Linked DNA regions of Schizosaccharomyces pombe. Each later gene encodes a partner of the first gene's protein in a complex. Each region holds a gene or a part of one and is shown on either strand. Other genes may lie near its edges. A codon is read from its position in the direction of its gene.

Region 1 (3,755 bases):
TTAGCGTTAGAAATTCTCATATTTTTAAGTATTAAATTATTTAAACCTCTCGAACTCACTAGAAGTTTTTGGCGAACTTTGGTGTCAACATTCTGCAGATGTTTACGTCTATCATCATATGTTATGGGTCAAAGGTATAGTGATGAAGAGGGTTATTATCCCAAGCAATATTTTTCTTTTCTTAGAAGGATTATAAGCAAACCTTCGGATACCGAAAACCAAGATGATGGTGATAAGCAGAAAGCAAAGAAAGACTTTGTCCAAGACGGTTTCTTTTTGTGGTGTCCTTCTAAGGATGTTGTGCCAGTTCGCCAAGGAGCCATGCTTATACCTGTGACAGAAAATGGTTATGAAATTTTTGGTGAAAAAAAGAAGGTCGAAGAAAATGCGGACTATACCATTACTTATGCACCTTCTAATTTTTATAAGCGTTTGATCGCTTTGTTGTTATTTTGTTGGATATGCTCAACACTTGTGACAGTATTGTTAGTGTTTGTTCCACTTTCATTAGGAAGAGCTATTTATGCTTGGTGCTTTCCTAATGTGGTAAAGCACGATTTTTATGCTTACGCCATTGGATTTTACTCTATTTCTTTTCCAATGTATGCAATTCACGCGTCTGTTAAGTTTCTGAAACTTGACTATTTACGAAGCCTTATGAATAAACTAAATTTAAAAATTGTTATGAGGAGCTTAGTAATGGCGTTAAAATATCTTTTATTAGCATTCCTTGGAATATTTATCTTACCACTCTTACTTGGAGCTATATGGGAATTATACGTCGCTATACCTTTCCGAACGATATTTAACAGAGGGACTCTTGCTCTCGATGCATTCCAAAACTGGGTGATTGGTCTTTTTATGCTTCGTATGATATATTTTACTGTGACTTCTAATGAAGAGCGTTTCGTTTCAAGGTTGTTTCAAGATGCTTTTCGTGATAGATGGACGAATCCTCAAATTCTTCCATTATTAAAAAATGTTCTCATCCCTTTTACATCAGCCTTAATAGCCGCCGTTGTGTTGCCAAGTGTTTTTACTTACGTAACCTATCCTTTTCTTTCATCCATTTTCCCTTCTGCATCTAAAACCCTTATGTATCGGTTGATGCATCCTATATTTTTAGCATTACTTGGGCTAGCACTCTTGGGGCGCCGTTTTGTAGAAACTAGTAGTAAATGGTCGCAAGGAATACGTGATGATTTATACTTAGTTGGTACGAGACTGCACAACTTTGGCGAATCTGCTCCTCCAGCCATTTCTGAGTCTGCCGAAAAATAAAAGTCTAGTCATCTACTATTTTTCAGATTATCCTTCTCTTTGGAAAACTGGAGCGAGGACATCTGAAGTAATATAGAGCATTGTGAATGTATATTATTTGAATGATGTTTTTGTTTTAATTGCTACGAAACTGTTAGTTTAGTTGCAGGAAATTACAAAAAGTCATCGTTTGAACAATTGGTTTGTTATTGTTATATTGCCAGGCATCTTATCCAATTTATCGTAACTGGTATTATCATGATATGGTGCTATTTATTTAATTTTCTTTACAAAATTGAACAAATATCAATTATCGTTGAATTTCTTTGATGTATCTGATGACTGTATCAAACCGTAGCAGCGAAAATTTGCAGACAATCACTAGCAATGGATAAATTAGTTAATTACTAAAAAGAAACAGTTATAACAAATATGTTTACTACGGTTATGTGACAAATTTATGAAAATGTAAAAGTTCGTAGTATTGCATGTGTTGATTTTGTAATCCATTCAATACTAACTAATCCTTCGTATAGAGGAATATCAAAATACTTTATCACTTAATCAATTTAAATTTTACGATTATGTTGGCCTAGTAAAATATTCATGTTAAGGATTTTATGGCATTCAACAATAGCGATAAGCTGTAATATTACAAGTAATAAACTCCTACTTAATTCGTTTCCAAGCCCATTTATTAAAAAGAATAATTCAGTGTTGTTAAAAGAAACACTGCAATTCTCTAAAAATTAAAAAAGCCAAGAAGTGTATAATTTTAAGCTACTTTAATCAGTGAAACTAATTTAAAACCAAGAATGATTAAAGATATCGAAATAAACAATTTATAGCAAAATTTATTGGTGATAGAAGCTTTCACTTCGTATTCCATATGCCAGATAAAACTACCCACTTTTACTGACTATTCCAAAATCCATTTTGAGCAAAAGATCGGTTATTTTCAAGTGTTTTTATATTCAGGATTTTCATGTCAATCAGTTATTGAGCGTCATATCGTTGTTCAATTACGGTTTTCTTAACATTATAGAAACTGCTTTTCTAAAAAAAAAAAGAAAAAAAAAGAGCAGGCATTTTTATACTAAGAATCAGCGATAAAAGGGAAGACAGTTACATCAATCTAAAATCTAGTTTACGATAAATACTATTTAACTAAAAGAGAATGGAACCAAACGAAGGAGTACAACTGTTTTCGGCTTTTCCGCCTCCACCTCCATATTATAAGTTATTTACAAGAGAAAACATAGAAAAAGTAATTTCAAATATGGAGAAAGAAGCAAAACATGAGGATGACGCGAATACTTTACAACCTAAGACTGAAGAAGAAATAGAGTCGCTGGCCAAGCTGTTTAAGAAGCCGTCATGTCTCACATCTGGGACTTATCAAATGTTTGGTGACACATGGAGGGTAAGTTTATTTTTATTGTTTTACATTAGCTGCTTTTCATCTCTCACTAACTTATATCGCTTATAGCTAGACGAAGCTATACCTTCACTCAAAGAATTTGGAATCCCTGAATTATATAAAGATATAAAAGATGGAGAAGATGAAATTGAAGTGGTAGAATATGATCCTAAATCCAATGCGATAGTTGGTACTAGTTTTACTCGTGTACACGATTATGATAAAAATTCACCAATTGAAAATGAAAAAATTCTGGAGGATGATCAACATACGGCCATGAAAGAAAAAGATAATGAATCTGATAAGACAATGAAAGATGTCGAGGAAAAGACTGAGCCCTCTCTTAAAAAGGAAGAGGAGGATATACAAATGAAGGAACCTTTAGATTCTCAAGATACTGGAGCTGTTTCAGCTTCTTCGGTAAACGAAGGTTTCCGGGCAGATCAAAAATCAAAGGATGGAGAAACGAGTGATTTGATAAAAATTCCCCGGCGAGCTTATGAACTACGATTTTTATCCCGCTCACTTATGCTTAACTTTCTTGAACTCCTAGGGATTATGGCGAAGGCACCCGAACAGTTTCCTTCTAAGGTTGAAAACATTAGGGTGTTGCTGCTCAATCTCCATCATTTAATTAATGACTATCGTCCACACCAATCTCGTGAATCTTTAATTATGCTTTTAGAAAAACAATTAAAACATGAAGAGTCGCAGGTTGAGCTATTACGTACTCATAACCGGCAAATGACCGAAACTTTGGAAAAGTACAAATCATTAGATTTTAATATGGAGAAGGAAGGAGATGTGATTCAACAATTAAAGTCGTCAATAAAAAAGCCATTGTCAGGCGCTGAAGATGAGCAAAAGTCTAGGTCTATGTTCTCAAAAAATGACGAGAAATTAAAAAAATCGCTTGAATTAATGGAAGACGTGATAAAACGAGATCTTAGCTAATAAACCGGTTTATCTAGTAGAGTTATTTTGCTATTTCCTCTGCTTTTAATATTTGTTTTACAAACAAAAATTCATACTAACGATGAAAAAAATGTATTCTTTCTATTTTAAACAAATCAAA
Region 2 (3,392 bases), on another chromosome or scaffold:
TTATGCATCTAACGTTGTTTAAAGAATTATTGAAACAACCAAAACCAAAATTTCATTTTGAAATAGAGCCCAATGTATCTTTTCTAGCAGTGGAGGAGGGACCAGCGTCGTTGCGTTCTTATTCTATAGGGAATGTGAGTCGTATTTACGATGGCATAAGAGTACCTCCAAAACCCGAGGAGCCTTTGAATTGTTGCCAAAGTGGTTGCGCTATATGTGTTTGGGATGTGTATGCTGATGACCTTGAGGAATACAATCGTGCACGAAGAAAAGCAAAAAGGCATTATTTAGATAAACATTTACCCGTGCCTCCTGATTTAGCAAAGGTTTCATTAAAGGAAACTAGCTCATTGGAAGAGCTACCTCCTCAGTTGAAAGCCTTTGTTTTACTGGAAAAACGATTAATGAAGGATAAGCAATCTAAAAACAACTAATTAATGCAAAAACAAAAATATATAACTCTCATGATAAGGATATGATAGGTATGAATAACATGATTTTCTTGGATATATTATCAAAAAAATTAGACTTAATGCTTCTTTATTTATTAGTCTAAATGCTTACAGAACACTTCTGAAACTGCATAAAATGGCATTAAATATGATTTACAAAAATAAAAGTCTAAAAAACTCTGTATTGTGTAAATGTGTTTTAATTTGCAGTCAAACTTTTCAACAGAATTTATCTCATACCGATTCAATCCATTTTGGCAAACTGAAAAGCACAGGAAACACAATCAGAAGTGATCCGTAAAGATTTTGTACTTATTGAAGTTTCATAGGTCCAGGAGTTTCTCAAGTACATGCTTGTATAAGAGATCTTGCTTGATTTTGGATATTGAAATTTAAAAATGTGAGAAAAAAGTAAGTGGATATTACCATAACTATCTCAATATCTACATACATCCTCTTTTCATTCATTTTCCTTTTTCACGTCAACTTTCTTTTCATCTTCCTCTTGCTGCGGCTGAGACAAAGTAGCATCGTCGGCACTACCATATTGCTGCAAACCTTTTCCTAACCATTCATAATAAATTTCATCATTAACCTGCTTTGACAAATCCGCTCTAGAAATGTCGTTGCGAAATTGCGGATTTTTTAATAAAGTCAACATGTGCAGGCAAGTTGGATAAATTATGAATTTCACATATTCTGGTTCCCTCCAATATTCCATATATTCAAGGTACTGTAAAAATGCCTCATCTTCAAAGTATTTGTGCTGGGCAAGGAAGTTTAGGTACCATGGATTTGAAAGCATTTGTACAAATTCTAACTCAATTTCAAACCGACTCTTATCATCGGGAACCTTTGAAAGTAACCATTTTGTTTCCATTGAATCGAAACAATTACTTGACCATATATCTGTATATTTGGTAAAATTTGGTTTTGGTGCTACCACTAGTAACGCTACGGGATATGTAAAGAATAGTGGGCTCCCTAAATGGTGAGTAGAAAATTGAAAGAGTAAACAAATTCAATTCTAACGGGCAATTTATTTCTTAATTAAATTAAAATTCTCTAGTTGAAAAATTGGTTCTAAATGGTTTCTCCCATTTAAGCTGTTTAATTTTACAAGTGTTAATAATCAATCTGGAACAATGTCAAAACAACTTAGTTGAAATCTTAAAGTCAACTTCAAATTTCTAATTGCTCATTAAAGCTGTCTAACTCAATTTTTTGTGGATACCATTTTTATCCACAATAAGTATTGCTTTCTTCGTATTGATGATGAGCGTAGAACTTTCAATTTTAATAAGACTTGTTGACAAAAGGAAAGCTATAATTAAATACACTGAAACCTTTTTTTCAACAGTAAACTGACCCTCTAGATCTGTAGTTTCAATCAAATTGACAAAAAACGGATAAGATTAAGAATATATTTTTATGGCATAGTAGAGATGCATTGGTTATTTAAAATGTTATTAAGTTAATATTAATTTTCAATATATAGGCCTTAATAAACTGTTATTCATATTCGGCTCTTGAGGTATAAAGTCGTTCAATTTTCAAACCTTTCCGCTGCCAATACACAGCGGAATTTATGAGTATCTCGTGAAATCAGCAATTCCGGTTGGTATTAATGTTATATAAGCTTAAACAATAATTTTTCAAGAAAGGAATACTGTTTGGCTGCATAATTGGTCTTTATCCTCGTATATTACCGCTTTTGTCATTTTTCTATATTCGGGTTGTTATCACTGTCTGAACCCTACTAAAGTTTTTCATTCATACATTTAAATTACAATGAAAGTTATTTGTGGATCAGTGTTTCTGTTTTCACTTTTCTTTCAAGTAGTTTTAGGAGATTGTATGTTCTAATGAGTTTTTTGCTTTGTTTGCTAACCAGATTTTCTTTTTTTTTTTCATTCACTAAGCATAACACTAACCTATAGATTTTTCCTCGTCTTCCGGTAATCCTAACTTGAGGACTACGAAAGTGTATACTGTAGTCAGTGGAACTCACCTGGCTACGGCTGAAAGCACTGTTAGTAAAACAATCACCACGACAAAAGGTTTACCGACTAATGCTTATTACAACTGTGTTCCTTCTAAATATATCCAGTCGGATATACCCATGTGTGCACCTAACCAAGGGGATCGTTGGGTAAAAGGTCGCAAGTATAAAGTGTCATGGGATCCTCTGTACTTTGGAGTTGATAATCTTCTTATGGTAGTTTCCTATTTAAACGATAGCGGGTTGATTGCCGCTACCAAGAAGGTTCAAAATTCAAAAGGTTCGTTTGTAGAGGAGCGGGAATTCAGCATTACTTCTTGCGGATAGATTTTCTGCTTCTAAAAGCGTTCACTTAATTGTTGCTAACTATTTTTCAGGAGAAATAATGTTAAAGGCTAACAAAGGTTGGCTTCATGATGATAGTTTCCAGAATGTCACCATCGATTTGGTTACTATTAGTGAAAACAATATGACGCTGCTTACCGGACCAAGAATCTTACTTGCCAAGGATTTAGATAGTGCCACCGCTGCCGCTGAGAATGCAGCTTTCTATGGTCCAAGGAGAAATATCAAGGCAGCCATCGCCGTCCCGTCTGTAATTTTGGGGCTTATTCTCGTTGCTCTCGTATACTACGCTTATAGGAAGGACACTTGGAAAATTTATATGGCAAAGATCAGAATCCGTAGATCCGCTCCTGGATATGGTGTGCGACGCAGCAGGCGCCAACGTATGCAAAGCCGTCCTGTTGCCTATACTAGTCTTCCAGCCGATGCACACTTTGAGGACTCGGATGATGAGGATTATTACCAATCACAAGTAAAAAAATTCCATTAAATCTGTGCATAGAGAAGTTCTTCATTGTTAGTAGCAAGAAGTTTTTGTTTTTCGTGAAGAAAGCTAGATTAATCGTCATTTAATTTCACTCTGTTTTTAATCA

What was found. The genes of interacting proteins can lie anywhere in the genome.
Region 2: the proteins of med7 (region 1) and med31 are in contact, whole or in part, in a crystal structure (PDB 5N9J), measured with the Schizosaccharomyces pombe proteins. Residues at the interface, in NP_596734.1 of Schizosaccharomyces pombe: Phe13 (codon at 2,474), Pro14 (codon at 2,477), Pro15 (codon at 2,480), Pro16 (codon at 2,483), Pro17 (codon at 2,486), Tyr19 (codon at 2,492), Tyr20 (codon at 2,495), Leu22 (codon at 2,501), Phe23 (codon at 2,504), Thr24 (codon at 2,507), Arg25 (codon at 2,510), Ile28 (codon at 2,519), Ile56 (codon at 2,603), Leu59 (codon at 2,612), Ala60 (codon at 2,615), Leu62 (codon at 2,621), Phe63 (codon at 2,624), Lys64 (codon at 2,627), Lys65 (codon at 2,630), Pro66 (codon at 2,633), Ser67 (codon at 2,636), Cys68 (codon at 2,639), Leu69 (codon at 2,642), Thr73 (codon at 2,654), Tyr74 (codon at 2,657), Met76 (codon at 2,663); in NP_587859.1 of Schizosaccharomyces pombe: Lys9 (codon at 1,308), Asp13 (codon at 1,296), Lys14 (codon at 1,293), Arg16 (codon at 1,287), Phe17 (codon at 1,284), Glu18 (codon at 1,281), Ile19 (codon at 1,278), Glu20 (codon at 1,275), Glu22 (codon at 1,269), Phe23 (codon at 1,266), Met26 (codon at 1,257), Trp31 (codon at 1,242), Tyr32 (codon at 1,239), Phe35 (codon at 1,230), Tyr41 (codon at 1,212), Asp44 (codon at 1,203), Glu45 (codon at 1,200), Ala46 (codon at 1,197), Phe47 (codon at 1,194), Gln49 (codon at 1,188), Tyr50 (codon at 1,185), Tyr53 (codon at 1,176), Tyr56 (codon at 1,167), Trp57 (codon at 1,164), Tyr62 (codon at 1,149), Phe65 (codon at 1,140), Ile67 (codon at 1,134).

The regions. Positions count from the first base shown.
Region 1 is NC_003423.3:4,170,205-4,173,959, forward strand, and holds the start of med7 (mediator complex subunit Med7), read left to right. Parts: upstream 1-2,155; 5' UTR 2,156-2,437; coding exon 2,438-2,683; exon of another isoform or gene 2,684-2,749; coding exon 2,750-3,634; 3' UTR 3,635-3,755. Other genes in the region: ubiquitin ligase Doa10, read left to right, coding at 1-1,281.
Region 2 is NC_003421.2:525,359-528,750, forward strand, and holds med31 (mediator complex subunit Med31), read right to left. Parts: upstream 1,391-3,392; 5' UTR 1,333-1,390; coding exon 913-1,332; 3' UTR 501-912; downstream 1-500. Other genes in the region: SPOM_SPCP31B10.02 (uncharacterized protein), read left to right, coding at 3-434; protein psg2, read left to right, coding at 2,244-2,307, 2,393-2,734, 2,832-3,289. UniProt on the Schizosaccharomyces pombe protein: Component of the Mediator complex, a coactivator involved in the regulated transcription of nearly all RNA polymerase II-dependent genes.